Linked DNA regions of Notamacropus eugenii. The protein of the gene in region 4 interacts with the protein of the main gene of each other region in a biochemical or structural test. Links are inferred from orthologs where the notes say so. Each region holds a gene or a part of one and is shown on either strand. Other genes may lie near its edges.

The links.
Region 1: the proteins of CFTR (region 4) and PRKAA1 form a complex in vitro, tested with the Homo sapiens proteins (2 studies listed by BioGRID, with this or other methods). The link is inferred for Notamacropus eugenii from reciprocal best matches to the Homo sapiens genes CFTR and PRKAA1.
Region 2: the proteins of CFTR (region 4) and NHERF2 form a complex in vitro, tested with the Homo sapiens proteins (4 studies listed by BioGRID and IntAct, with this or other methods). The link is inferred for Notamacropus eugenii from reciprocal best matches to the Homo sapiens genes CFTR and NHERF2.
Region 3: the proteins of CFTR (region 4) and NHERF4 form a complex in vitro, tested with the Homo sapiens proteins (2 studies listed by BioGRID and IntAct, with this or other methods). The link is inferred for Notamacropus eugenii from reciprocal best matches to the Homo sapiens genes CFTR and NHERF4.

Annotation. Positions count from the first base shown.
Region 1 is NC_092875.1:419,373,474-419,380,901, forward strand, and holds the start of PRKAA1 (5'-AMP-activated protein kinase catalytic subunit alpha-1), read left to right. Parts: upstream 1-4,414; 5' UTR 4,415-4,609; coding exon 4,610-4,736; intron 4,737-7,428. UniProt on the Homo sapiens protein: Catalytic subunit of AMP-activated protein kinase (AMPK), an energy sensor protein kinase that plays a key role in regulating cellular energy metabolism.
Region 2 is NC_092872.1:48,222,536-48,229,525, reverse strand, and holds the start of NHERF2 (Na(+)/H(+) exchange regulatory cofactor NHE-RF2), read left to right. Parts: upstream 1-3,987; 5' UTR 3,988-4,676; coding exon 4,677-4,886; intron 4,887-6,990.
Region 3 is NC_092876.1:279,616,363-279,623,780, reverse strand, and holds the start of NHERF4 (Na(+)/H(+) exchange regulatory cofactor NHE-RF4), read left to right. Parts: upstream 1-4,418; 5' UTR 4,419-4,519; coding exon 4,520-4,535; intron 4,536-4,862; coding exon 4,863-4,890; intron 4,891-5,120; coding exon 5,121-5,194; intron 5,195-5,582; coding exon 5,583-5,794; intron 5,795-6,071; coding exon 6,072-6,267; intron 6,268-6,377; coding exon 6,378-6,514; intron 6,515-7,103; coding exon 7,104-7,308; intron 7,309-7,418. Other genes in the region: NLRX1 (NLR family member X1), read left to right, coding at 2,149-2,400, 2,875-3,196.
Region 4 is NC_092874.1:135,437,117-135,444,244, forward strand, and holds the start of CFTR (cystic fibrosis transmembrane conductance regulator), read right to left. Parts: upstream 3,018-7,128; 5' UTR 2,181-3,017; intron 1,945-2,180; exon of another isoform or gene 1,793-1,944; 5' UTR 1,767-1,792; coding exon 1,714-1,766; intron 1-1,713. UniProt on the Homo sapiens protein: Epithelial ion channel that plays an important role in the regulation of epithelial ion and water transport and fluid homeostasis. Mediates the transport of chloride ions across the cell membrane.

The DNA.
Region 1 (7,428 bases), on a different chromosome or scaffold from region 4:
TGAAAGCCCTTCCATTTTGTTGGACTAAACGATCTAATTTCTATAATTTTAGGTTATATCTCCTTTAAAAGATTATATGATTCTTAAGGGCAAGGATTATAGGAGATTTAGAATAACTAACACAGTTATAGTACTTCAAAGTTTGCAAAGTACTTTACATATTTTATTTGTGTCACAACAATCCTTTTAAAAAATATTTCCCAATTACATGTAAAAACAACTTCTAACATTCATTTGAAAGAAAAATGAGCTCTAAATTCTCTCTCCCTTACTGCCCTCCTTCCTCCCTGAGAGTGAGAAATTTGATATAAGTTATACATGTGCAATCATGAAAAACATATTTCCGTATTAGTCATGTTTTCAACAATCCTTTAAGATAGTTATGACATTTATTATTATTATCCCCATTTAGCAGATAAGAAACCAAGGTTTCTTAGATTAACTGAGTTGTCCAAAGTCACATCACTAGTAACTGCAATAATCCAGGCTCAGATTATAATAAGAGGAAAGCAAGATTTCCATCTACTTTTCTTTTCAAAGTTTCATATTCTAAACTATTTTCAGTGAGTGTAGGTAGCAAAGACTAGTGCTTGTAATTGTGTTAACTGTGTGTGCACGTATGTGTGTGTGTGTGTATGTGTGTGTGTATAATGTAACTTAATTTTTGTTCTTTGTTTTCACACAATTCCCAGTGGCCATTAGAAAATACAAGCTAAGTTGGTATCTTGAGGTTTTATAAAAGAAAAAGAAAAACCTGACAACTCTAATCATGAAAGAAAATTTAAGAGGTTATTTGAAAGAAAAGTGGCATATTTTCTATCTTCTCAAATGAGAAGCAGGAAGTAATGTCTTTTCCAGGAAGAACAGGGTTAGAGCTGTAGAAACTCATAGAAGTAGGTAAGGCTTTTTAAAAAAAATCTAGGGAGAAAAGAGAACAGGTCAAATTCATTTAATCACTTAATTTTTAAAATTTTGATATGTTTTAACACGTTTACCCAAACAGACCTCTTAATGAAATACTTTCACTGAAAAAGTTATCAATTGTTGACAAAAAGGATATATCTTTTAATTCTGACTGTATGGTACTAACATTATCTGTTGTACTTGTCCAGTTTTATTTTTATTTTTAAACTCTGCATGTTTTTATTTATAGACCTCTTCTTATTTCCCTATAGTGATCCCTTGGTGAACTCTACACCATCCTTTTGAGTTACCATGCCCCAAACCTCAGTCTCCCAACATTTGCTGCTTTTGTTCCTATATACATGCTTCTCAAGAAAATCAGTGCTGACATCTATAGTGCAATTCACTACAAATTTGTTATAGAACCTCAACTGGGCCCTCACTGTTGCAAAGCAATCCTTTTATATCTCCCTAATTAACTCACTATCCCCCTCACCCTAGCAAGTCTTCCAAACTTTTTTTTATTTCTCTTCTTTTCCCTCCTCCCATTCTCTTACCTAAGAACCTTGTCTCATATTTTACTAAAAAAAAAAAAAAATCTTTGAGATCTTCTTCTTCTCCCCTCCTCATTAAACATTGCCCAGATGTCTTCTGTCCCTATCTCCTCTTTTATTCTCTCACATGAGATTGCCCTTCTCCTTGCAAAGGCTAACTTCTCTATATGCAAAAATGATCTATTCCATTCTCCTTTCTTCAGGTTTGTTCCACTCACTTATCTTCAATCTCTCTACTGGCTGCTTCCCTACTGAGTCTTCCCCATCCTCAAAAAACTCCATCCATCCCTAGTCACTATTATCTTATAATTCCCCTTCTTTTGGCAGCTGAACTCCTTGAGAAGGTTATCTACACAATAGATGCCTCCACTGCCTTTATGCTTACTCTTACATTCCTACAGTGTTGCTTCCTTCCAATTTTATCTTTCAAACAAAAGTGCTCTCTCCAACAATCTCTTCAATGCCAAATCTAATGGCCTTTTCTCAGTCCTCATTCTTCTGAACCTCTCTGCAGCCTTGACATTTAATCACCTTCTTTTCTTCTTTTGGGACATTACTCTCTCCTAGTTCTTCTTTTGCCAGACTACTCCTTCTCAGTCTCTTTTGTTTCATTCAGGTAACACACATGAACTACAGGTGTATCACAGGGCTCCATCTGGGGACCCTCTTTTATTTTTCCTCTATACTATTTACCTTGGCTATTTCAGCATCTCCCATGGACCCCATCTTTCTGCTGATGATCCTCATATCTACTTATCCAGTCCTAATCTCTCTACTGACCCCCAGTCTGCATCTCCATGTCCCCTGAACATTCTGAATATTCCATAGACATCTTAAACTTAACATATCCAACACTAAACTCATTAAAGCTCGCTTCAAGTCCTCCCCTCCAACTTCCCTCTTACTGTGAAGAGTACCACCATTATCCCTGTCACCCAGGTTCTCAACCTAAGTGTCATCCTGGACTCCTCAACTCTCTCTCCATCCCCAATTCCCTCCCTGCCCCAATCCAATACTATTGCCAAGAACCGTTACCTCAGTCTTCATAATATTTCTCAAATCCACCCACTTCTCTCTTTTGACACGGCCACCAACCTAGTCCTCAGTTCCTCATGACTGGACTACTGTTCTGCCTGTTACACATCTCTCTCCACTTCAGCCCATCCTCCACTCAGCTGTCAAAGTGATCTTCCTAAAGCATAATTCTGACCATGTCACTCCCCTCCACTCCCCCACTCAATGAACTTCAGTGGCTCTTTATGACTTCCAAGCATAAATATAAAATCCTCAGATCCAAAGCCCTTTTTAATCTGTGGTTCCCTGCCTCTCCTGTCCATTCTAGTTCTTATAATCATTCCTTCCCCACCTCCACCCCCTTGATACTCTGGAATTCAGAGACCCTAGCTTCCTTGCTCTTTTCCAAATGAGATACTCTATCTCCCCGTTCTGGGCATTTTCACTGGCTCTACCTCGTCCCCCTTGCCCCCCACTCCATGCTTACAATGCTTTCTCTCTCCTGTCCCTTGCTCCTTCCTTCTTTTAAGTCTCAGCTAATACCCTACCTTGAACGGAAAACTTTTCCCCATCCCCCTTAATCTAGTACTTTCCCTCCGCTGATCATGTACAATAGATCTTGTCTATAACTTGTTAGTATGTAGTTGTTCGAATGCTGTTTCCCTCATTAGACTGAGTTCCTTGAAAGAAGGGATTTCCCCCCACTTTTTTTTTTTTTTGTATGCTCAGTGCTTAGCAAAGTATCTGACTCACAGCAGCCACTTAATAAACGTTTGGCCGACTTACGAACATTCTTGTACATATAGAGTTGCGGGGTCTTTGTTTTGATTTTTCAGTCAATAACCTGCTTGGAATAATAGTCTCAGTAGGGGATTCTTCTGGGTATTGAAGAATATGAATTTTTCTTGCGTAGCCCCAAATTGTTTTTCAGAATGTTTCAATCAATTCATAGTACCTGACTTCCCACAGTCACATCTTTTTACATCTTTGATAGCTTATTGATACTTCCGGGTTGTTTTAAGTTTAGCTAAATCCCACGAACTATGTGATATGCGACACACACACCCTTAGCTCCCCCATCTTTGAACAGCAACAATTATCCCCTTTTCATTGCTTTGGATTCCTTCAAGCATTTATATGCAGTCTCTATTGAAAATGAAGAAGTTCGAATATTGACTTAGAATTTTCCCCTGGTCATTCATGTATGCCCTGTATCATTGTGAGGGCAGGGATCTTTGCATTTTTCACAGATCGTATATCATCACCACATGGCTTAATACATATTAAATTAAATAAACGGCAAATCAAAATTCTATCCAACAAAATCTTAAGAACTTCAAATTCCTTGGGTCGGCCACGTTGGAGTTGTTTGCAACAAGATTAGACTTTTCCAGGGATACGAAAGAGGCTCAAGGGGTCGGCTAAGACGTTAGCGGCGATTCTGGTGGGTGACTAAGGATGGGCAAGGAGCCCCTTCACGGGCTTTGCCAAGGCAGGGTCCCCGCCACTTCTAGATCTCCGGTGGAGAAGGAAAGCAAAGGCTGGGGGCGCAGGGCGGGCGGACGGGGGGCTGGAGTCGGAACCCCTGCCCAGCCCCCCTCCCCCGTCTCCGCTCGCTGCAGTTTCCAGCCTATGCCCAAACATCTGCAGAGCAGACTCGAGCAGAGCCACGCGCCGGGCGGCCGGCTGCCCACGCTCGGACAGCGCCCGCCTGGGCTGGCAGCCAGCGCTCCGGCCCCAGCGGGCAGGGGGGACAGCCCGGGGCGTCCTCCCCGGGCGCGAGAGGGGGCGCCGCCGGAGCTACGGAGGGGGTGGCGGGGCCCGGGGACGGCTCCATCCAGCACCTCGGACTCAGTCCCCTCCGGCCGCCCCCGCCACGGAGAGTGGTTGGGGCCAGACGGCGGCGGCGCGGCGCAGGAGGAGGAGGGGACCGGCGGGGGCGCGGGCCGCGACAGCCGGCTCCTGGGCGGAGGTGACCCACCCTGGGCCCCTCCCAGCTCTGCCTCTCGGGGGGCCCCCTCCTCCTCCCCTTCCCCCCCTCTGCCTCTCCAGTCTCCCCTCCTCCCTCTCCTTCCCTTCCCTCTCTGTCCCCGCCCTCTTCCTTCCTCTCCTCCCTCCCCCTCCCCCCCTAGGGCGCCATGCGCAGGCTCAGTTCCTGGAGGAAGATGGCGGCCGCGGAGAAGCAGAAACACGACGGGCGGGTGAAGATTGGCCACTACATCCTGGGGGACACGCTGGGGGTCGGCACCTTCGGCAAAGTGAAGGGTGAGAGCCCTGGGGCCGGGCTGTCCCGCTGCCGCGGAGCTGGGGGACTCCCCCCCACCCCCCGTTTCCTCGCATCTCCATCCCTCCACTTTCCCCCTCCCCCCCTCTCCCTCGCGCGCCGGGACCCGGGAAGTCTGGTGCGGCGTCCGGGGGGCAGCCCGGGAGAACCCCCGGTGCCCACCCGGGTCGTCCTGGCCGCGCGGCGGGGCTCGGACCTGGTCCGCCCCGGGCGGCGAGGCCAGATGCTGGGCGCCTGGCCGGAGGTCCGAGTCCCGTGCCGTGGCTTCAGGCAGAGCGAGCCCCAGGGAGGTGGGGGGCCCCCCGGTCCCCGCTGCTTCTCCCCAGATCTCCTCCGTGCCCGGCACTATTTCCGTCCTCTTGACGAGGCGAATGTTCTTGGCTGTCGCCGAGCCAATGAATTAATCCAGGTGACACGAACCCCAGCCTGTTAAGCTTTGGGGGTGCTGTGTAGACCAAGTCACCTGGTCTAGCTGGAGCACCCCTTCTTCAGGGGTCTTGGAACCGCTCCTTCTATTATGATGTATTGCCAGGTCTGTGTTCTGCCTGTATTCTGTGCCTTCAACTGTTTTTGGACAGTCAGCAAGTGTCCTGTATTCCGTGTCTGCCGAAGCTGTTAGCTATTTGGCGTGCTTACCCCAAATAAGGTTTTTAGTTTATTGTAGGTACTAATGACAGCATTTACCATACATGGTGTCATTCACTTTTTGAGAAGCGAAGTATATTTTTTTCAAAGAATTGGAAGAAAAACTGTACCGGAGTTCTCTCTGCCAGTCCTATTTCAACACCATGTTTATGAAATGAAGTATCAAGGAACTTTCCGTCTCCTGTTTTTCACCAAATGCTGAAACATTGCAAAATAGGTGCTGTTTAAACATTTGATATTGGCCACTGGGTAGAGTAATAGAAGAAATAAGGATGGCTTTTATGATAAATAGTGATAGGAAGCTTATTTCCCTTTCCTATAATTTTTCTGTTACAATAGTTTTATGGGTGCAACCTACCTGGTACATAAATGCTCAGTATTTACTGTTTTGATTTGAAAAGTATTTAAAAGTTTGGATGATGAAATAAATAAATAAGTCTTGCTCTTCTAGAGCTAAATAAACATTGTCTGATTTTATCTTGGGAGGGGAGAGGAGAACCCTCCTTTCTCTTGCCCCTTTCTGAGTCATAGAAGTGGAAAGTTGCTGTGTAGCTCACAGGGAGAAACTGCCTAACAGTACTTGTGAAAATCAGCAAGGGCTACAATAAGTTGAATAAATGTAAGAAACTTAAGCAAAATGACAGAATGGGTTAATGATAGTTATTAGGGTGGGTCTCTTTTAGGCTTAGATTTGTGTGATCCTGACTGAATTGTGGCTCTGCTATCAATTAGAGCTTATGTGTTGTTTATTAGTACTCTTAAAAATACTTGTTAGCATCCTAAAAAGATGTTAAACTATCCTTGATTATTTCACCTGAAATTCTTCTTGAATTAACACTAAGATCATTTACCTAACAGAAACATGATTTTTCATTTTGTCATTGTAGAGACACCACCCTGCCTCCCCACCCAAAGATTTCAAACATAGTCATATTCATTTAAGATTTGAAAACAGAGATTGGAAGGCAGAATAAATGAATTGCTCAAGCAACAATTTGTTGTGAATTCAGTGAGATCTTTTTGTTATGATTGGCAGGGTAGAACATCATTGTTAGTGGAAGAGGTCTTCTTGCACATAGTTGGTAGGTGTTAAGTGAATGGAGTGTTAACTTTACTCAAAACTTTTTTTTCCACCTTTAGCTGTCTGGATGATTTTATTTTTTATACAGATAGAACCACTGGAAAAAACATTTTAATCTTGTTTCCTTTATATAAAACTTCACAGTTTGCACAAAGTACTTTTTTGTTGTTGGATCCTTACATCAACTATCTGAGGTAGGTAGTGCAAGTATTGTTCCTATTTTATAGGTGAAAAAACACTGAGGCTTGGGATGTTATGGACCTTATTCCAGGTCAAGGGTAGTATGTTAGTAGTGAGTCACTGAGCCCTGACACAATCACAGATCTTTTCAGATACCAAGGTCAGAGCACTTTGCCTCCCATACCACAGTTTTGAATCTGTTGTTCCTTAAAATTATAATGGCTCTTTTTGTTCTTGATTGCTCAGCCATCAATACCAGTAAGAGATAGTCTTTTAATTTTGTGTGTGTGAGATGTGAATTTCCTGTATTTTTAATTGTTAAAATTTAAATTCCAAGTTAATGATGTTTTACCTGAGACAGTAGATGTTTCCAAATAAAACTAGTTTCTTTTAGGTCAAAATGGATTGACATAGTAAAAATTTTAGATGTTTTGTTTAAAAAATTATATGTACTGGTTCTTGTTTTAAAGTACTTCTTCCCCTCTCCCAGCTTGAGCATAATTGGGTCACCACTCTATTGTCAATGTAAGTAGAAGCATGGGAAAATGGAGGGGAGACACATTTTCAGCACAGGTGCTTGACAAAAATTGCCTTGATTTGGTGCCTAGAAACTATTTTACCTGACATTTATTCCATTTAGAATCACATTCCATCAGATTTTAATCTTTTATAAAATCAAGATCATCCATCTGGTCTAAGGAAAAGCATTTGTTACAATGTTCCAATGCATTTAGACAAAGTTACTTGTGGAAGAGATACAGATAACT
Region 2 (6,990 bases), on a different chromosome or scaffold from region 4:
GTGAGTGACACAGCTCAGGAGAAATGATAGAGGGATGAAGGAGCAGAAGCAAAGATTTTTGACCTAGGAAAGAATCTGGAGCCTTAAAGGGAGTTATTGGGGGGAGAACGAGGGGAGGTCGAGATGCAGTGGAACTGAGGCCATAGTGCCTGGTATTTCTCCAAGAGGACTCCACCTTCATCACTGAACCTAGCTTAAACCTTGAAGATATGGGCTCCAGTCACCAGTGAGTGACCTGGGTGGAGCTAGTACCAGCTCAGTGAGGTATGGGGTAAAGAAGGCAGCAGTCAGAAGGTAATCCTCACTCCACCCTAATGGCCCTGCAGGAGTCATCACAGGAGTACAGGCCCTGAACTCAAGTATCTGGGGTCCCAGGTCCTGTTGTTCTGTTCCCCTTCCCCATTTTAGCTCGGCATGTACTAGAGGGGCCCAGGACCAGGTAGAGGAATACAAGCCAGGACTGAGAGACATAGCCCATAGAGAGACAGACCCTATAGACAATGTAGTATGAGGGAACCAAAGTAAAAAAGACCCAGGAGAACTGTGTTCAAACCTTGGCTGTGCTCTTTACTACCTATCTGAATTTGGGCAAATCCCTTCTGTTCTCTGGACCTCTAAAATGAAGTAGCATGGCAGGAGATGTTACCTAAGGTCCTTCTCAGCTTTAATGTTAAAATGTTGGAGCTGAATCAGGGTCCATCTGAAAACAAACTCATTGGACCAGGCCAGAGAGAAATTGATGACTTAACGTCCCACCAGCATTAGCCTAAGTGGCTTTTATGCCAAGGTAAGTGTGGGAGAGGAAGTACCATGTGGAAGTCCATTTAGCCAGGGAGAATAACCCGAAAAAGGGGTGGGAAATTGTTGCTGGGATGCCTAAAGATCCAAGACCAATAAGACAAACAATGATGCTGAGGTTGGCTGTGGGATAGCCCTTTCTGGTTAGTCTTTCCATTGGAGAGGAGCAGCTGTGATAAGTGGCTCTAATCCTCTGCCTTCATGGGGAATTGGCTGGGTCTGCTTTGTGGGACACCCTCGAGTCTGGTAAGTGTGTTTTTCTCTCTGCATATCTGGCTTTGTGTATCTTTGTGAACTAAAGGAGGAAGGGGACCCCCCGAAGAGAAGCCAGAGAATCCTGGGAAATCCTGGGAAAACCTGTGGAGAAGAGAGATAACTTGGGGGCTGTGGGATAGAGGCCTAAAGAGGAAAAGGAGGTGGACAGAGGCCTCTACAGAAAGGAGAGACAATGAGGAAGGGAACCTGAGAGTATGAAGAATGTAACACAGGTGGGAAAGACAGAACCCCTGGTGGTGGGAGTGGAAACCGGGGTTTTGCTCCAGGGTACCACTGATGGTAGAGGGTGCTAACAGCTAACAGCTCTTTTGGTTATTGGACAGTGTAGAAATAACAGAGGTCAGTACTTGGTTAGCAGGAATAAATTAGTCAAGGTTAAGAAGCTTTCAGATGGTGGGCCTGGGTGAGCTCCTCTGGAGTTCATTTGTTTTCTGTGCTTTCCCCAGGTGGAAAAAATTCCTGGGCAAATCTGAAAGGTTGGAGAAGAGCTTGGAGGTTAAAGAAATTCTCCTAACACAGCAGGTATTACTGTCACTATGAACACACAGTCAGGGGTTACTCTCACTCACCCACAAGCACTCATAAAAATCCATTTGGAGGGTTCATCTGAGGGGCCAACATTTCTTCCTTTAATAAAGATGAGAACATATACAGAAAGGCAAATTTTTACCCTTGGGGGGCATATTAACTCAAATGAAAGAGGCCACTTTTACTCAAGGGTCTATGATTTTCTTAAGGTACACTCTTCCTACCAATGACCCAGAACTCAAATCAAGTCTACACTGTGCTAAGTGCTGGAGAGAGCTGGAAAGGCAAAACTAGTCTCTGTCCTTGAGGGGCTCACAATCTAATGGAAGGAGACAATATGAAAAAAACATGTGCAAATAAGATGTGTAAAGGGTAAATTGCAGATAATCTCAAGAGAATTTCTCCATAACTTTGTGGCCATCTTTGAAAATTTTCATCAGCCTGAAGAAGAGATGAGAAAACGCACCTCTCCCTTTCTCCCTTCTTTGGTGACCTGGAGGACTATAGGTGGGGAAATAATTGCAGACTTGGTTGATGTCTTGGCTAGTTTTACCAAGGTTTCCCTTCCTCCCCCTTTGCTATTCCTTGTCACAAGGTATGGCTCAATGGGTAAGAGGATGGAGGGGTATATTCAGAAGATGATGTAAAACAAACAAAAGGTTGCAATACAACTTTTAAAACTGTGGCCAAAATACGCATCTCCCTAGAACCAATCTGGTGATGAGTACCTCTGAACTTAGTGACGCTGGGCTTTGGACAACCAAAGTTAGTTACCAAAAGTCTATACCCTTATTCTTTTAAGTGCTCTTTAGCTTTTTCTCCTAAGTCAGTTTTAGTGGGATCCCTGCAATCTTCAAAGCCTAATTATTAGGTTTAAATGAACAAGATTTGACCTGAAAAGCAGACTTAGCTAGTAAGGCTGGCCCATTCCAAAGGACTGAGGAGCAAAAAATAAACAAACTGAGAACTGTGGAGGAGTAGAAGGGAGTGATGGGATATTGGCTGAAGGGGGAGCATGGCTGATGAAAGTGTAGCAGGAGGAAGAGGGGGAGAAAAGAGGAGAGGGGAGACTGCTATCTTGTTGATCTTGAATCGTAGTGGCCATGGACAGAGCAATTTATTCCCGTTAGGGACCCTACCTTGCTCAAATCCAGAGCAGTGTTAGCCACGATCCAGAGAGGTTCTCCAATCCTTTCTGAGACCAAATAAATGCTAAAGCCCTCTAGGATGGGACTGTTCCGTTCATTATTATAAAGTGAGCAGAGGTGGAGAATTCTCCTGAAGATTGAGCAGATCCTTACGTCTGACAAGAAAACTACCCGCAAGAAATGTTTCCTTTTTGTGGAATTTGCTTCTTTCTCAGAAAAGAGAAGTCTTGCTTTGCTCTGCATAGAGAGAGTGTACCAGGCCCTCTGCCTTCCGCTCCCATACTGAGCTGGGAGATTACAAGGGGACTTGCCAAATGATCCTAGGAAGGGAATCCCTAGGAGATGAAAGGTCAGAAGAAGCAGGTGGGGTAGGGTTGGGAGAGGGGCACAGCCTGAATTATTCCCCAGCTGGGGAGGGTGGATGAAGTCTGAGATAAGAGACTAGCATTGCACGAAGAAAGAAACAGCCCTCAAAATGCCCCAGCAAGTGTATTTTAGAATGATTTAGGGACTGGGTGTGTGTGTGTGAATACAAGTGTGTCAGGGAGTGTGGGGGTACTGAAAAGGAATGGGGAAATGGGCTCGTGGAGACAGGGTGGGTGGGGTTAAGAGGATCTGGACTCTCAGGGACCTTCCTGAAAGATGGTGGGGATTTCTTTCAGGAATTGGTAAAGGAAAAGAAAAGACCTCTGGGAAGGAGAATTTTATACCAGGGAAACCTATCAGGGGATGTCAATGGAGTTAGGGTGAAAGGAGGCCGCAAGGCTGAAGCAGCAGAACTGGAAAAAGGACCTTAAGTTTTAAGTCACATACCAGGCAGCCTGTGATTAGGTACCTTCGGGGAGCAGTTGGCCCCTGTGCAGGACAGGGCTTTCTGATAGAGGACAGATTGGGTGTTATTAGAGGGGAGGGGTAGTGTTAGGAGTATTATCGAGGGATCAGCCTTTCCTCCTGCTTTGGAAACCTAGGAAGTAGGGTACCCCTTCCCCACCCCCTCCCGACACCGTGTAACTCAGGGACTGGCCTGCTCCGAGGCAGAAGGACGGGCCAAACGACCCCTCAAGTCCTTTCCACAGGGTACCGGAGTCTCCAGGCAGGTCCCCTTCCCCCATCCTGCGGCTCCGCCCCCGGACCTCCCACCCGGCGGGGGGCTACTGGGCGGGCGACCCGAGTCCCGGTGGGCCGGAGGAAAAGGAGGGGGTGGAGGAGGCGGGGCGGGGGCGGTGCCGAGCAGGAACCCCAGCCCGAGCCAACCCGAGCCCGATCCCGAACCCGAGCCGGAGCGGGAGCGTAGCTTACCCACCACCGCCGCTTGGTTCCAGCAGCCGCCTGTCTCCTTGCTCCAGCTCCAGCTCCAAGCCTGGACCCGTCCTTGAGGCGGCAGCAATCGCAGCCTCTGGTCCGGTCCGGTCCTGCTTGGTCCGGCCCAGCATGGCAGCAGAGGCCCCTACCCCTGGTCTCAGTGGTTTCCCGGCCCAGTGCAGCGTCCAGCCCCGCCTCTGAAGGACTCCCGACGGAGGTCCCTGGGAGCCAGGCGTCCCTGCCCCCCAGCCCGCTTCCCTTACACTAGTTGAACTGCGGCCCGGACTTCCCGGATTCTCAAGTTCTGCACTTCTCTGCCTCCTTCCGCCGTGCACCCCGATCTCCAGCAACTGAACCCCTCCGCACTGCACTCCGGAGTTCCATCCCCCGGATCCCTCAGCCTTGCCCCCGCCATCCCCCCAGACCTCCCTCCTCCCTCTCTTCCAGCTCTCATCCCCTACCCCCCTTCATTTTCCTCGTACCACATCCTCGGTCCCTCCGGGTCCCAGACCCCCCTAGTCTTGCGACCCCTTCCCGAACTCTCCAGCCCCAGGACCCAGGACTCGGGGTTCCTCACAGTCGCCCCCTCCCCTCCCCTGAGCTCGCGCCCCCAGCGGCGGCGCCATGGCCAAGGACCAACTGCGGCCCCGGCTGTGCCGGATGATCAAGGGGGAGCAGGGCTACGGGTTCCACCTGCACGGAGAGAAGGGCAAGAGTGGCCAATTCATTCGCAAGGTGGAGCCGGGCTCCCCCGCCGAGGCGGCGGCGCTGCGCGCTGGGGATCGGCTGGTGGAGGTGAATGGGGTCAACGTGGAGAAGGAGACGCATCTCCAGGTGGGCCCGAGATTGTGTGCCTGTGGGTGTGTGTGATGGACACAGAGGGTCCATCCTGTGTCTGTGTGATCGAACTACTCTTGTACGAGCCTGTGTTGTCATACCGTGATTGTGTCAAGGTTCAATAATGTGATATTGCGTGCCTGTGTGACACTGTGTTTATATGGTGATACGCTCTGTATCTATATGTGTATTACTAGGGGATATTGTATGTCCTTGTGGAGGTCTGGAAGGGAGCAAGGGGAAATTGTCAGGAGCTGGGAGGGTGATATAGTATGTGTAGCTAGCCAGCTCTGTGTGATTGTGTGGGTCACTATTTTGATGATGAATTCCCGGCTGTATCTATATTTGATGTAAAATACTGTATCCAGGTGATACTATATATAGCCATATATGACACGGTGTAGCTGTATATGACTGTGACACTGTGTGTAGCTAAGTGTAGCTGTGACTGCATTATATTGTATCCATGTGATATCATGTATAGTTAGCTATGTAAACAGTGTATCGTGTGATACCATGTGTGACCTTGTGTGATAATCCACCACATATAGACATACAGACACTGTGTGATGCTATATATGTATATACTACGGGACGCTGTAGATCTGCATGACCCTGTACTAGTATGTTACATTATATATGACACTGTGTGATACTGTAGATCTATGTGTGACAGTGTGATGTGACAATGTGTATAACTGTGACACTATCTGTATATGACTGTAAGACTTTTCTTGTCTATTCACACTCTGTATCTGTGTTTGGGTGTCAGAGACTGTGTTGAACACTGAGAAAGACATTGTTGTCCTCAAATCTAATCCAGCTCACAGCTCTCTCTAGCATCCGCCTGGGGAAAGTCTCCCTGTATGAGGAAGAGAAAAGTATCAGGAATCAGGAAATACCTGTCCCTAGGATGGGTGTCCTAGCCACTGTCAGTGGGTCCTGGAGATGGGGGTCCTTGTCCTGCAACTTGGCTCTGTTTGGAGAGGAGAGCTCTTGGGTTTGGACTGTAGGCTCTCCTGGCACCATGACTCATTAGTAAGGTAGGGGTAGTACAGTTCTCTGTAGATTGTGTTTCCCATGTGTATGTATGTTTGTATCTGTGTGTGTATTTTTGAAGAGGATATATGGGTGTATGAACACTAGACTTGGATTCAGGAGCTCTTGTTTTGTTATTTACTAACTGGGTGACCTTGGGTAAACAGTTTATCTCCCTGTTTATCTGTAAAATGGGGATGATAATGTTAGGACTTCTGGCCTCACGGGAATGTCATGAGGAAAGATTTGCAAGCTGTTTTATCTTAGTTTTTCCTGGTTGTGTGCACAGTGTGTGTATATGTGTGCTTATTTCAATATATGTGAGACAATGTATTATATAGTCTAATCTTTAGCTCCGAAGCTAAAGCTCCAGACACACACCCTGGGACTGCAGCTGGGGCCTTATACTTTTGCTTGCTCTGTCTTGGCAAACTGCAGCAATCTTAGGCAGGGCAGGGGTGGGGTTGGGCTCTGTGTGCATCTCTCCATCAGTCCTAAGGGAGAGAAGGTTGGGTAAGGGGCTTGCCTTATAGAATCAAAGAATGATGAAACAACTGGGGGGTATTTGACTTGGAGAAGAGAAGACTGGGGTAGGGATCAGGAGAGCCCCTTTCAAGTATCTGAAGGGCTGTCATATGGAAGAAAAATTAGACTAGATAGATCTGTTTGGCTCTAAAAGTACCAGGGCAATGGGTAGAAATTGTAGAAGCAGAATTTACAGAAGCAAAGTTAGCCTTGAATAAAGGAAAAACTGCCTAACAATGAGAGCTGTGGCAAAGTCAGTGGGCTAACTCTAGTGGAAGGCTTTAAATAGACTAGATGACTACTTGTCCATTGTGGTGTGGTGGCCTTGTATCTCTGGTATGGGATTGGATTGAGTGGCTGATGGGGTTCCTTCCAGCTCTGAAATTCTGTGATTGTAGGATTTAAGAACCGGAAAAGGACTTAGAGACCATGTAGTCCAGTAGTTTCCTACCTTTTTTTTGTATGGAGGACACTCTTGGCAGTCTGGTAAAAACCTCTTATTAACTGACCTCGTCTCAGAACAATGTTTTTAAATGCT
Region 3 (7,418 bases), on a different chromosome or scaffold from region 4:
TCAAAAACCTCAGATATATAGATAAATTCACTCTGATAGCAGAAAGTGAAGAAAAATTAAGAAGTCTGTTGATGAGGATAAAAAAGGAGAGTATAAAAGCTCCTTGAAGCTTAACATAAAGAAAATAAAACAGAAAACTAAGATCATGGCAATTGGTCCCATCATTTTTTGACAAATAGAGGGAGAAGAAATGGAAACATGGTCAGATTTTATACTCTTGGGCTCAAAGATCACTGCAGACAGCAACTGCATGAAACTAAAAGACACTCCTTCCTTGGAAGGAAATCTATGGCAAATCTGGACAGTATACTAAAAAGCAGAGATGTTACTGTATGGACAAAGGTCCATATAGTCAAAACTATGGTTTTCCCAGTAAAAATGTGTAGCTGTGAGAGTTGGGCTATAAGGAAAGCTGACAGAATTGGACATACTTCTTGACATACTAGAGAACAGAAGGGCTTGGTGTGTTATAATTCATGGGGTCATTGAAGAATTGGACACAACTGAATAACAAAGTTTTAATATAGCATCTACCATGTGCCAGACAATGTACTAAGTACTTTACAAATATCTCACTTGGTCCTCACAACAACCCTGAGAGGTAGGTGCTATTATTACCCCCGATTTACAGCTTAGGAAACTGAGGCACAGAGGTTAAGTGACTTGCCTAGGGTCACACAGCTAGTAAGTATCTGAAGCTAGATTTGAACTCAGGTCTTCTTGAGTCTAGGCCTATTGCTCTACCCACTGTACCCACTGTACCCCCTAGCTTGTCCTCAGCTGAGACCTTTACTAGAGAGTTGCTGCAAAGACTTCCCCCCAGTTACCTGATTCTCTTCTAATTTAGCTGCATCTGCCTCCTCTCTACCATATATAAGTCTCACATGACTCTTTTATGGCGTCTTCCATTGGTTTCTTTTTTAAAGCTGCTCTTAATGAATAAAGGATTCACTGTCTGGGAAGTCTCAGGGTGGCAGGCAGCAGAGCCAAGGACTCTGGAAATTGGAGAAAAAAAATGAGAAGCACCTGAAGCCAATTAAAATGTGATTCATAAATATTTAACAAAATAAATAAAAATACAATAAAACATAGATAACATGGCATTTTATGGCTAAGTCAATATACACCTGCGAGGATCCTTATATATGGATTAGCGGCTCTGGTTTCTATTTGAGTTTGACACCACTGGTGTAGCAGAAAGAGCACTATGTCTGGCATCAAAGGACCTGGTTCAAATTCTGGTTCTGCTGTTTAGTGTCTGTGTGATTATGAGCAAGCTGTTTCTTCCCACCTGAACCTCAGTTTCCTCATCTGTAAAATTAGATGGTTGAATTAGATTAAGGCTTTTTACTTTAGTATCTGTGAACTTGGTTTTAAAAAATAAATTTATAACTGCTTCAATATAAGTGGTTTTCTTTGTAATCTTATGTATTTTGTTTTATGCATTTAAAACCCATCCTTTTAAAATTTATTTTTCCCATTTAATAGTGTTTATGTTTTTTCCAATTACATGTAAAGATAGCTTTTCAGCATTCACTTTTATAAGGTTTTGATTTCCAAATTTTTCTTTCTCCCTCCCTCCCTCCTTCCCCAAGACAGCAAACAATCTGATATAGGTGATACATTACATCCATTTCCATATTAGTCATGTTGTGAAAGAAAAACAGAACAAAAGGGAAAAAAATACAAAAAAGATAAGTAAAGTGAGAATAGCATGCTTTGATCTGCATTCAGATTCCACAGTTATTTCTCTGGATGTGGAGAGCATTTTCCATCATGAGTCTTTTGGGATTGTCTTGGATCGTTGTATTGCTGAGAAGAGCTGAGTCTGTCACAGCTGATCATTGCACAGTGTTGCTGTGAGAAGGGGCACCCACATTTCACCAGACTACCCCAAGGGTCCATTACAAAAAAAAATTAACTTCTTGACTAGATGATCTCAGATCTCTTTCAGCTCTAAGTCCTGTGCTGCTAAGCAGATTTCACCTGAATAACAATGTTATGTGAAGGGGAGGACACTTGTATTACTATCTCTCCTAGGGATGGACTTGGTGTTGGTTCTTGGTAAATGTTGTTGGCTCCACTCCTCAGAATTCTGAGGCAGGAGGGTGTATCATTTTCCTATATCTCTCCTTTCTTCTACTGCAGTCTCTCCAACAACCCACTCACAGCACCAGGACTGGCCCTCTTGGTAGAAGGGCTGAGTGGGAACACTTCTTTGACTCACCTGTCTCTGCTGCATACTGGGCTTGCAGATGAAGGCCTGGAGCTGCTGGCTACCCACCTGGAACGAAACCAACAGCTCCGGGAGCTGAATGTGGCCTATAATGGAGCAAGTGATGCAGCAGCCCTTGTCCTGGCCAGGGCTGCCAGAGAACACCCCTCCCTGGAGCTGTTACAGTAAGTGATCATTCGTTCCCTTCTTCCCCTAGTCTTGGGCTCAGCTTCCATCTTTTTAAGGCCAGACACTCTTCCCACTTTCCTTTTTAGATCAGCTAACCTTGAGACCTGCATGTGTAGAAGTTCCCTCTCAGTCTTCACATCTTTTGATTAATGTCTATAATTTAAACTCTTCTGGTCCCTACTCCAACTTGACCCTTTTGTAAGTGGTCCCAATCTTTCTTTCTTCCACCATTGTTTCCCTTAAAGTCTTAGCTGCCTGGTTCCCAAACTGGATCTGGTCTACACTGTACCTTGTGGCTACCCTTAAGCCCCCTTTGGCCACCATTCTCTCATCTCTCACTTCTAATTAGTTATTCTCCCTTCTCTACTGCCTCTGGTTGCTTTGCTCTCCTTTCTCCATTATTACCTACTTTGCCTTTCCCACTGTGCCTCCTGATGAATCACCCCTTCTGTTTCCCCTTTCCTCACTAGCCTTTATTTCAATGAGCTGAGCCCAGAGGGCCGGAAGAGACTACGGGAGCTAGAAGGTGCTACCACTGGAAGGGCCCGAGTAGTGGCATCGTTGACCGAAGGCACAGCTGTGTCAGAGCACTGGTCTGTCATCCTGGGTGAAATTCAGCGCAACTTGAAGAGCTGGGAGCGGGGCCGAGTCCAGCGCCACCTTTCCATGCTACTGCGAGACTTGGAAGACAGCCGGAGTGCCACCCTCAATCCCTGGCGCAAAGCCCAGTTGCTGCGGGTGGAGGGAGAAGTCAAATCTCTGCTGGAGCATTTAGGTAGCCCAGGGAGCTGAGGCAGGCAAGAGGCACAGAGTCATCCTGGTCCTTAGCACCCGCCCCCTTATCCCTTGTCAGCCTCTACGTATGGTGGTGGAGAGATCCTTTTCTGAGTTGAGAGGGCTTCTTCAGGACTTGGGATGACGAGGGAGTGGTCACAGCACTGTTCTGACACGGCAGATTCCACCTGTGCTCCCTAAAATCTGGGGAACCCAGATCACAGCCATGAAATTGTTGCTATACTGGGGGACTTGCTTGCTCTCATTTTGTTGGGGGAGGCATGTCAGCAATGGAATAGGATGGACTCTGCCTTAGCATTTTGAGGAGCCAAGTTACTTTCTTCCACTATCCCTGATAATTAGGGTATGAAAGTTGACCATCATCTCAGCCACCCCCACTTGATGTGGCCCATGCTTGCCCCTTGTTTCTGGAGAGATCACTTAGTTTAGTTGTGAAGACAGTGACCATCTACCTGCCCATACTGCCCCCTCCCTTCATCCTGTGCCAGATCAAGTACTCTTTATGGATGCCAAGGGGGCCCACAGGGGTCATTTTCCATCGGTACCTTCTCCTTATTTGCTTTTCTCAGATTCATAATGAAGTTTGGTGGCTCCTAGAAATTAAGTGCCCTGATTTGCTGCCATTAAAAACAAAAACATGTGTCTTCTATCTGATGCTATGGTCTTTTCTTCCTTGGAAAAAATAAAAAATAAAAAAAACTGTATTGCTAGCTGAGCCCAGAAATGACCCTGGGGATGGTTCTCAGTAAATAACCAAGTAAGCTCTACTACTCACTGCGTGGTCTCCCTTCAGAGTTCTGGGGCAAGAAGGAGTATCAGTTTCCCATATCTCTCTCTCCTTCTACTGTCTCCAACAATCTGCTCAAAGCAGAGGGCCTGGCCCTGTTGGTGGAGGGTTGAACTAACTCACCTGTCTCCCTTCCTGTCTGTTTCAGTTGTGAGTGGTTTCATGACTTAGATGTTATTCAAGTATGGGTGCCAACAGGTTTTGGGAGTCTAAGGGGGATCATTTGGAGAAAGGATAGCCTATGATTTGCTGCAGGGCTGGTGTTGTTCATCTCAACTTTGTCTTTAGGCTCAGAACAATAGTACCTGTACCTCTTGGTTTGGAATACCCAGAATGGACCAGAGGGAGACTCCTGAAGCTGATTGAACATTGGCAAATGGGAGAAAGTTCTTCACTTCCCTAGAGGCAAGGTTCTCCTCAGTTAACCATTACCTCAGGCAACAGTGTCTTAAAGGAGGCGGGACTTGGGGAAGGAAAGGAGGGTCAGCTGCTTGTGGTGGACCTTGTCCCTACCCTGAACACTCGGCCCAGACATGGAAGCAGCAGCAGGTAGAGAGCATAATGAAGTGCCCCTTAAGGAGGGGACCATGGTGGGGGATACTGAAAATGGGGAGCCTGATACCTTGGAATTAGTGGTCAAGGTGTGGGTATCGGGAGGAAGTAATTATGACAGGATATTTGCTCCATTCACATTCTATGTGTATCTCTACTCATAGATCTGCGCCAGGGATCCTAGGGTTAGAGAAGGAGCTAGAGGGCAAAGGGGCAACCTGTATGGGAATGGGATTCAGACAACAAAGATCATTCTGGTGGTATAATCCAGAATTGGTAAGGGCATGTGTGTTCCTTGCCTTCACCCTACTCTTTCCCCTCCAGATCTCCAGGATACAGCCACATTAAATCTGTGAGTTCCGTAAAGAGGAAAGAGGAGATGTCCTCCCTTCTCCTCTATGTTGAGGATGGAAGAAAGGAAAAGGAGATAGGGAGTATTGCTTCTCTTGTGTTTAGTGGGGGTGGGGGTGGGTTGGGACCAAGAGAAAAGGGATGGTTTTAGCTTGGGGTGGGGCTCTGGTGAAACTTGACTTGGGCACAGTGCCCAGGATGGTACTATCCTTTCCACCTGCCTCTTTACAGGAAGTTTACATTTAACCCGAAGTTGGGGATTGATAATCCTGCACTCTCATTAGCTGATGACCATGACCACCTTGGTAATTTTCTCTGAACCCAACATTCATCTATTCCCTTCAAATGAAAAGTATCCCAGCTTTTCCCCAAACACCCCCATCTCCGTAGCAATCACCCTCTTCCATCAACCTGAGAACACCCAGTCAGTTCTGGGGCCCTTGCCAGTTCTTCCTCATCCCCATACCATTAGGGTCCCCTGAACCCTGTCCTATATGTGATAGGTACTCTCACCACACATGTGTGGTTTACTTTATTCTCCTCTGTTTCCAGTTCCTTTCTCCTATGGGGATATTTTTGACCTGTGCCCTAGAAGGGAAAGTGGTGTCCTCTGAGAGATAGAATAATCACAGTGCCTATGGTGATAAACTGCCCTTCCTTGAACTTTAAGTCTGGCCTCTCTTTCTCTGACAGATTCCTGGGGCCTTCAGCACCCCCGTTTCTGTCTGCTAAGCAAAGATGAGGGGGGGAAATTTGGCTTCTGCCTACATAAGGAACTGGGCCAGACTGGGCACATAGTCCGAAAGGTGGAACCAGGCACTTCTGCTCAGCGCCAAGGGCTTCAGGATGGAGATCGAATCCTGGGGGTCAATGGGGACATTGTGGAGCATGAGGACTACAGTGGGGTAAGGTTGTCTAGGTCAGTGTTGGTGATGTAACCCTGTTATGGGTTACTGAGGGCAGGCTGGTCACTCACTAGAGTAGTGTGTGTTGTCTAAGCACCATTGAGTTCTCTCTTTCTAGCACAAGAAATGACTAGGGGAAGAGAGGAGTTTGGGGGAAGACCTAGAGACAAGTGGTATTCTCAGGAAGAAATGAGGCTATTTAAATGGGAATATGCCCAGATATGGATCTCCTGAGGGACTTTCCTTCAGGAGCTCCCATGATTCCTTCCCTGCTCAGGTGATACGTCGAATCCGTGCAAGTGGTCCCCGGGTACTGCTGATAGTATTGTCGGGGAATGTCGAGGAGGTTTCTCGTGCTCATCAGGCTAATGGCAGTGGTGCCCCTCTCTGTCCTGTCCTGGATTCTAGTGTCCGACCTCGGCTGTGTCACGTGGCGAAAGATGAGGGTGGCTTTGGCTTTAGTGTCACCCACGGTGTGAACTGGTTCTAAGGATTTGAGTGGGGGGAGGCAGGCAGACAAGGAGAAGACTCTCTCACAATTTCCTGGGCAGACAGCAGACTAAACCCTGTTCTCTGTTCCCAGGAGAGAGGGGCTTTTTCTGGTTGATTTTGAGTTGTGGAGGTGCCGCAGAGAGGGCTGGGGTACCCCAGGGGGCTCGGTTGCTGGAAGTCAATGGGATCAGTGTGGAGAGTTTCTCAAATAGTCAGCTCAGCAGAAAGGTACAGAGCCTCTTCTTCTGCCTTTTCTACTTTCCATTTGGATATCCTGAAGTCCTATCTTCTCCTTTCAGTCAGCACATCCGTAGATGGGGGAAGTGGGAAAAAGGGTAAAGGATTTCTGCCTCTGAGATATCTCCTTCTGTCATCTATTCTCATGCTCAATTACTCTCACCTCACCTTTGGAGGATGTGCTTTTGATGTTATAATTAGAAGCACACTGGTTCTGCAGTCAGAGGACCTGGGTTCAGATCCTAGTTATGATGTATACCACCTGTGTAATTTTAGAAGTCACAATTTCCCTGGGTTTCTGTTTTCTCATCTGTAAGATGAAGGATTTGAACTAGATGGTGTCTGAGGTGCCTTCTAACTCTAGATGTATGATCCTATGCTGTTCCTTGACCCCTCCTTTGAAGGTTCATACCAGGTCCCTTCTATTCCTATCCTTTCACTGTGCCAGGGCTGCATGGTGACCCAGCCACCCTCAATGCCTCTTTTCCTGTGTTTGGGAGGAGAGGATTCTGGGGAAGCATCTGCCTTGAGCTACTCTGTGGTCAGTGGGTATTTATTCCTGGTCTGGGGGTCCCCACAGCTTCGGCAGAGCGGGGAGCAGGTGGCCCTCCTTGTGGCAGGGCCAGAAGTGGAAGAACAATGTCGTCAGCTGGGCTTACCCCTGGCTGCCCCCTTGGCTGAAGGCTGGACACTGCCTGCTTGGCCACGCCAGCTGCATCTAGAAAAAGGGCCCCAGGGCTTTGGGTTCTTGCTTCGGGAAGAGAAAGGCCCCAATGGCCAGCTTGGTGAGTGGGGAACCATGGATAGTATGGGATGAGAGTGGTGGGTGGGGAGAGTAGGGGTGGGCATGCACCTAAGCCATTATCTACCTATCCCCTCCAGGCATGTGAAAGGA
Region 4 (7,128 bases):
GAATAATAGAAAATATACAGATAAACCTAATACAAATCAAAGCAATAAAGCCTAGGTAGGAAGTTAGTGAAGAGATAACAACAGAAAGACTGCTAGGTTACTTCTTATAGTTTGATGATTTTTTTCTTCATAATATTTACCTTCACCTAAATAACAGAAAAAGGTGATATTAAAAGTAAAAACCTGCTCTCACATCCACAGGAGGGAGCTCTCCTTCAGTGGTTTGCCCTCATTTAAAATTCCCCTGACACATACATAAAATTAAATATTAGGAAGGGTGATACAAGGTGGATATGAGAATAAACATTCCCCCCTCTAAAATGCATATTCACACATATATACACATATACACTAAGTACTATATATAGATATACATTCATATTTGATTTGCTTTTGGTTATCAAATTCTGTTAATGTTTGAATAAAAGGTTTTGGAAAATTGAGTAAGATAACTTCCATCAAAGTAGTTGTATTTATTATTTCATTGAGGAAAAAGTGAAAATGAAAGAGAGCAACTGAACATCCATCTTAGAAGTACTTTTCATCTGAAATAGAGCTATTTAGTTAAACTCTAAGACTATAAACCTAAAACTTAGCATTAAAAACCCTTACTAAATGATACTTCCAACTTTCATAGCTTATCTCACACACAAGAACAAAAGAATAATTTATTAAATATTAGTTGGATATACCTACAATTCAGTATATTGCTCTGCCCGTTCCTGTTTCCATGGAAACAATGAACTCTTCTCCAATTCATGAGTAGCATAACTAAGCTTTCCCCATGTTAGAAACTGGAATAATTTTCTTTCATTATTCAAAAGACAAATGTACTTTGAGGCAAACAGAATTTCCTCTGTCAAAGAAAAGTTTTCCTCCTCATCACCATCAAAAAAAGATGTGTTTAATTCAATATTCTTCCTCAAATGGCAGTACACAATGTCTTAGCTGCATTTGCAACAAAATAGATATGGGAGTTTTTGAAATCTCTAAATATGTAAAGGAGAAATATCTTAATCATTAGTTATTAACCACTTGGTAAATAACTTTCCTTTGGAAAAATCAAAGACGCTAACCATAGGGTAAGTCAGTGTTTAAGTAGCTCCTTTGAATTTTAGCTTCTAACAGATACTGCATTATTAAAAACAGTTAAAAAAGGGCCATAGATAGATTTCAGATCCATGAACTTGGATAGGAAAATAATTACATCTTTAATTTCACTAATGTATATGAATAACATTTCCTTAAATTATTCAAAAATCTTAATTTGAGAACAGGTCCATAAGCTTCACCAGACTGCGAAATGGATCCAAGAGAGAGAGACAGAGAGACAGAGAGAAAGAGAGAGAGACAGAGACAGAGACAGAGACAGAGAGAGAGAGACAGAGACAGAGAGAGAAACACAGAGAGAGAGATAGTTAGGAAACCCAGGTTTATAGGGTCTTGCAACTAGGGGAGCTCACCTAACTGTTCTCAATACACATGCATTTCTGCTAGCCTGCTTTCACGTTGTTTTTTTTAATCTCCCTTCTCATTTCAGCTGTCTCTAGGTAGAAAAATGAACCTTTCTTAGAGAAACACTCAAAGGTTATACTTCACAATAAACAAATTAAAAAACAATGCCTTTAGACCCAAACCCCTGGTACAAACCTGCACACTCCCCTCTTCCCTCAGGCACATGTCATTACCACGGATGACTAGCAAGACGTTTACCTGAAGAAAAGTTTCGAGAGGACATTTGCCTGTTCCAGGGGTGATCTCTGCATGATCCCTCGGGGGCTGCCGGGGTGCCCTGCAGGAGTAGACTGCAGTGGTGACTCTTAATTGCCAAACTCTCCGACCCAGTCCACTCTGTTCCTGCTGCCTTCTCTCTCCCCACCTTATTCACTTGGGTTGCTGTGATGTCATGTACCACCTCCTACAGACTCCCCCCACCCATCTCTCTCCTTGCCAGCCCCCTTACACCTCTTTCCCCTTTCCCCTCCTCCTCCCCGGATGCCCAGGTTAAAAGGCGAGCCACAGGCAGTCCAGCTTCACATTCGCCCCGGCTGCTTTTTCCCCACCCCACTCCACACTTCCCCTTTCTCTAGTGGCTTCTGAGCCTCCCGCCTTTCCCGCCCCCTAATTCTCTACTCCGCCTCCCTTGCCCCCAGCGGGCTCTTTCCCAGACCGAGAATTACCTCTTCTTCGCTACCTTGCACCTCCAGTGCAGTCCGAGATCTTGGCACATTCTCTGCGTCTTCCCCCTTCTCTCCGAAGCTCCCGGGGGCAATACGAAGCAAAGTTAGGGCAAATAATCAGTCGCTTGGGAAAACTTGTAGAGCACTCTTACTCGCCCAGTTTCCTTGGTACTAAGGACAGGTTACTTGCCAGTTTCCCTAGGCTTCTACCTGCCTCTCCTCCTACTCCTCCTCTTCCTCTTCTCTAAAATCCTTTGCCAATTATTATTAATCGTGGTGCATTTTGGAAAAAAAAAAAAGCCACAAAAATAGGTCTCTACCTGTTCTAAAATGCAGGCTTATGGAGCTGAAAGGTTCCTGTGGGGGTGTTTGGTGTGTTGATGTTAATGAGTTTCTTTACCAAAAAAAAAAAAAAAAAACGAGCCTTTTTTTGCTTCAGACTTTCAAGGGAAGATTCAAAAGTCTTTAGCAACCCAATTTGGAAAAATTGCTTATTTAAAAAGGAAAATCCTCCTCCGAAGTAGGTGTAGATTTGGTTCTGTTGCCCCCCCCTCAGATCTGTTCATGGCTCGTCAGTTTCCAGCAGCCTTGGTTGGCAGTCTCTCTCCATATCCACGGTTACTCACTGCACTAGGTAAACGTACCTGTCCTCCGTCAGATTTCTCAGTTCACTTTCTGTAAGCAAAACCTGACTGACCCTGAAAGCAATCAAACGTCTTTGAAGCGCAAACTCGGCACAACTTTGCCAGGGATCCTGAAAGAAAAAAAATACATGGAAGAAATCACAATTCTTCACTTTTAGGAAGTTCTCGAAAGCATTGTACTGCCTTGAGTTCTGATGCGTGAGTTCCTTTCCTTGTCTTTCTTTCTTCCTTCCTTTTATAAATTTTTTTTAAAGTGCCAAGCACACCTTTGGTAAATTCTCCAAAGGTATTGTTAAAAAAAAAAAAAAAGGTACGCACTGACATTTGAGTTGAACAAATTGGAATGGGAGAAAGTTTGTTGAGTATTATTTGTGTTGTTTCTTCAGCAAATTTGTTTACTTTGAAATTATTGGATTGTTGATTTACATATATCCCAGTGAAGTATGGCTATAATCTTCATTGTATAATGCCAGTGAAGGAATTAGTCATATGTATTTAAAATAATGAATGCATGGTTTACATTTCAATAATACCCTTTTTCTTCTTAAATCTTAAAGTGTTTTTACAAAGGAGTATCATTGTATTTTTTTGCCAGCTGGGAAAATAACAGATTAATATTCATATAAAGTCAGACACCAAATCAGCAGCGGAGACAAAAATGGGGTCAATATTTCTGACTCCTATTCCCTTGCTAAACTTCTCAAGCAGGCTTTCCCTCCCTCCAGTAAGAGTTCCTGGACATAAACTTTGAAGCTATATTTTTACTATTTACTTTTCCCAGGTATGTCAATTGGGCTCATTAAATGCCCTTTTCACCCTCTCTGGCTGTTTACTTTACAACTAAGTGTGACCCACCATGTGTACTGCACAAGTTTCAAAACCGACAAGTATACAGTTCCTCTTGGCTGCCAAGGAGCAAGTGATAATAAAGGAATTAGGAATATTGATTCAAAAGAGATTCATAGAAGTTGACTAAGTAGAAGAAATAAAAGAGACCAATTTCAACAAACATGCATCACTCCCAATACTACATTAAAATGTATTATGGTAGGCACTCTGAATACAAAGATGAAAATGTCATAGTCCTTAGCCTTGAGGAGCTTACATTTTACTGGGATTGAGGGGGTATTCAATATAAGTACATAATTAAGTATAATTCAAGGCAAGGAGTGATAGGAGCAAAGAAGACATTGGGACAAAATGTTTTAAGCATTTTGGAGGAGATATCTGAAGTGATCAGGGAAGGCAAAAAGGAGTAGGTGACTATGCCAGTTGAGTATGGAAGCCAGAAAAGGAATCTGAAATGAGTGGCTGAGAAGAGGAAGAATTGCATCCCAGTCATATCAGGGTGAGAGGGAGGAGGATGGAGGCAATAGATGATGGCTCTCCACTTCTGTGAACACCTAATAATCCAGTTTGGCTGGAATGTAATGTTTGAAGGAAAGTAGCATAAAATAATGTGGGAAAGGTAGAGTGGAGCCAGATTATGGAAGGCCTTAAACTCCAAGCAGAAGTGTTTGTATTTATCTTATCCTAGAGACAAGGTAAGCACTGAAAAGTTTTTAAGGAGAGGGCCAGGGCAAGTCTGTTCCTTAGGAAGACTACCGTTGTTGTTGTTGTTGTTTGTCCTGACATCAGGAAGATGATGTCCTGACTTGCAAGTGAATAGGTTTTAAGAAAGGCAGAACTGTGCAAAGTCCCCAGCCTCACTGTCTCCTCCAGAGTCATCTGGGTCTAGTGGCAAGATATAGATCAGGATGATTGGAGATGGCCCTGGATTCAGTGGGAGACCTTGGCCTTTTTCAGCTAAGGGCTTTCCCAGGTCTGTTTGTCTGAGGCAGCACTCATTCAGTGATTAAGGAAGACTATTAAAGGCAGCTGTGTGAAGGATGGATGGAAGATAATCCATCTTCCAACAGGAGAACTATTGCAATAATTCAGATAAAGGGTGCTAAGACCCTGAACTAGAGAGGTAGTCATGTGAATGGGGAAAATGAGATCAAAACAAGCGAGGTTTAAGGTAGAATGAACATGAGTTAGCCACCAGTAGAACATGAGGATTAAAGGAGAGGGATGAATCAAATATGACTAAGGTTTTGAACTTGGACATGTGGAAAGATGGTAGTATCATCAGTAACAATCTAATTAAATCTAATCTAATCCCCTTCCTCTGATCAATTCTGCAATAAAACCATCCTTCCTCTTTTGCCTAGTCATAGGATCACAGGCTCTCAGAGTTGGGTGAGATTCCAGAAACTATCTAATCCAATTCATCCCTGAACTAGAATCTCCCCTACAACATCCTTGACAAAAACAGAAAACTAATGTTTCCATAAGACCTTAAACTCACTTGATTTAAACTCATTTAAACTCACTTGATTCTCACAATAATCCTGTGAGATAAGGGGCACAATTATTATTAGAGGCTGCTAGGTCAATATATAGACCACGAGAGTTGGAATCAGGAAGACCTAAGTTAAAATACCTCTTCAAATGCTTACTTAGGGGTGTGACTCTGGGCAAGTCACTTAATCTCTGTCTATCTCAGTTTCCTCATCTGTAAAATGGGAGTAACAATAGCAGCTCCATCCCAGGAGTTGTTATGAGGACCAAATGAAGTAATATTTGCAAAGTATAAATGTTAAAGCACCATATAAATGCTAGCTATTATTTTTTTTATCATTTTACAAATTAAAAAACAAAACTGAAAGAGGGTGGGAGAATTTAAATAACTTATCCAGGATCACACAGTTTGAGATGTATTTGAACGGAGATCTCCCTGACTCCAAGTCTAGGGCTCATACTAGAGATTATATTAGCTAACTGGAGATATGCAGCCTGTTCTAGAATAATTCTCATTAAGAGGAATTTGCACTTTAATTCATTTTACTTTTGGATAGCATTAATTAACAGGAAATAGTTCCTTATATTAAGCCTAAATCTCTGGAGTTCCCATTTTCCCCTTCCTTACCTCCTTTCCTCTCCCTCACCATCATTCACAAGCATACATATACTCCCTTCTTGCATCTATACAATTATATAGGGAAAATGCAAGCTATGAAAAAGCTTTGGAATAATCTCGTCCAATCTTCTCATTTTACAGATGGCATTTGATTTGAGAACTCATCAAAGAAACAATGTCAGCCATCACAAAATAAAAATAATTAAGTGAGTCACCAGAGGTATTTGGATTTGAATATTGATAAATTAGATTAGATTATGCTATTTTTCTCCCAGTTATTCTCATTCTAATCTTTTATCTATGTCATAAAATATTACATAAAAATGAACCAAATTTGGACAGTGTGACATTCTTGTAAACATCAATAGCATAAGACAGGGATGCTCTAGTGAACTAATTGTGACATCAGGAGGTTGAATTACTCTTTGAAAGTCAAATTTACCTGTGTGCAGGGGATATATAAAGCCTTATGCTCTATGTAGCTGTCAAACTGTGGTTTCTTGGCTTGACTCAGGCTCTTGACCAAGATACTGAGACTCAAAATAGCCCTGAGCACTAAGAAGTAGAACAGAGACTAATCCTAGAATGGTGGAACTGGTCATTAATTATCTTTCTCCACTGAAATTGCCATTTGTAAGACCAGATAAAGAATTCCTGGAGATAGGTTCCAAAGGCAGTAGAAACAGAGACATCTAGACAAATAAAACTTAATCCAGAGTCCTTAGGGGACACATTCATATAATTTACATCTTTGGTCAGTTAGGTTCTGATTGATCAAGAAGTAAGCCAAGGCTTTAGGAAGCTTCACATTTTTACTCATTCCTAGTGGTCCACATTGTCATGGAACTAGAGAGAATGTTAACACCTTTAATGTGGCATTTCACCCTTAAAGTAAACATTTCCCAGTGCATATGCAAAGTTTACCTGCTAGGCAGACTCACAGGACATCAGAGTCGAAAGAATCTCAAAAATGATCTAGCCCAACCTGTACTGAATAAGAATCCTCTCTACAACATAAGCAGGTATAATAATGATTTAATGATTGACATTTATATAGGCCTTTAAGGTTTGAAACATACTTAACATACATTATCTTGTATGTACATGTGAAGAGAAGACCCTCCACACCTCCAAAAATACCTCAGGGAGCCTAAAATTCTATAAGTAGAGATTTGTTCCTTCAGAAGAGGGATCACATATGCTTTATTAGTCATTTACATCTTCATTCCAAGTCAACAAACAGTGATGAAGAGCCTACTATGAAAAAGATCATTGAGTCCGCCAGATCCTTTCCTAAGAACGAGTTTTAATTTGAGGTGAGAGGGAACAAACAGAGGATACT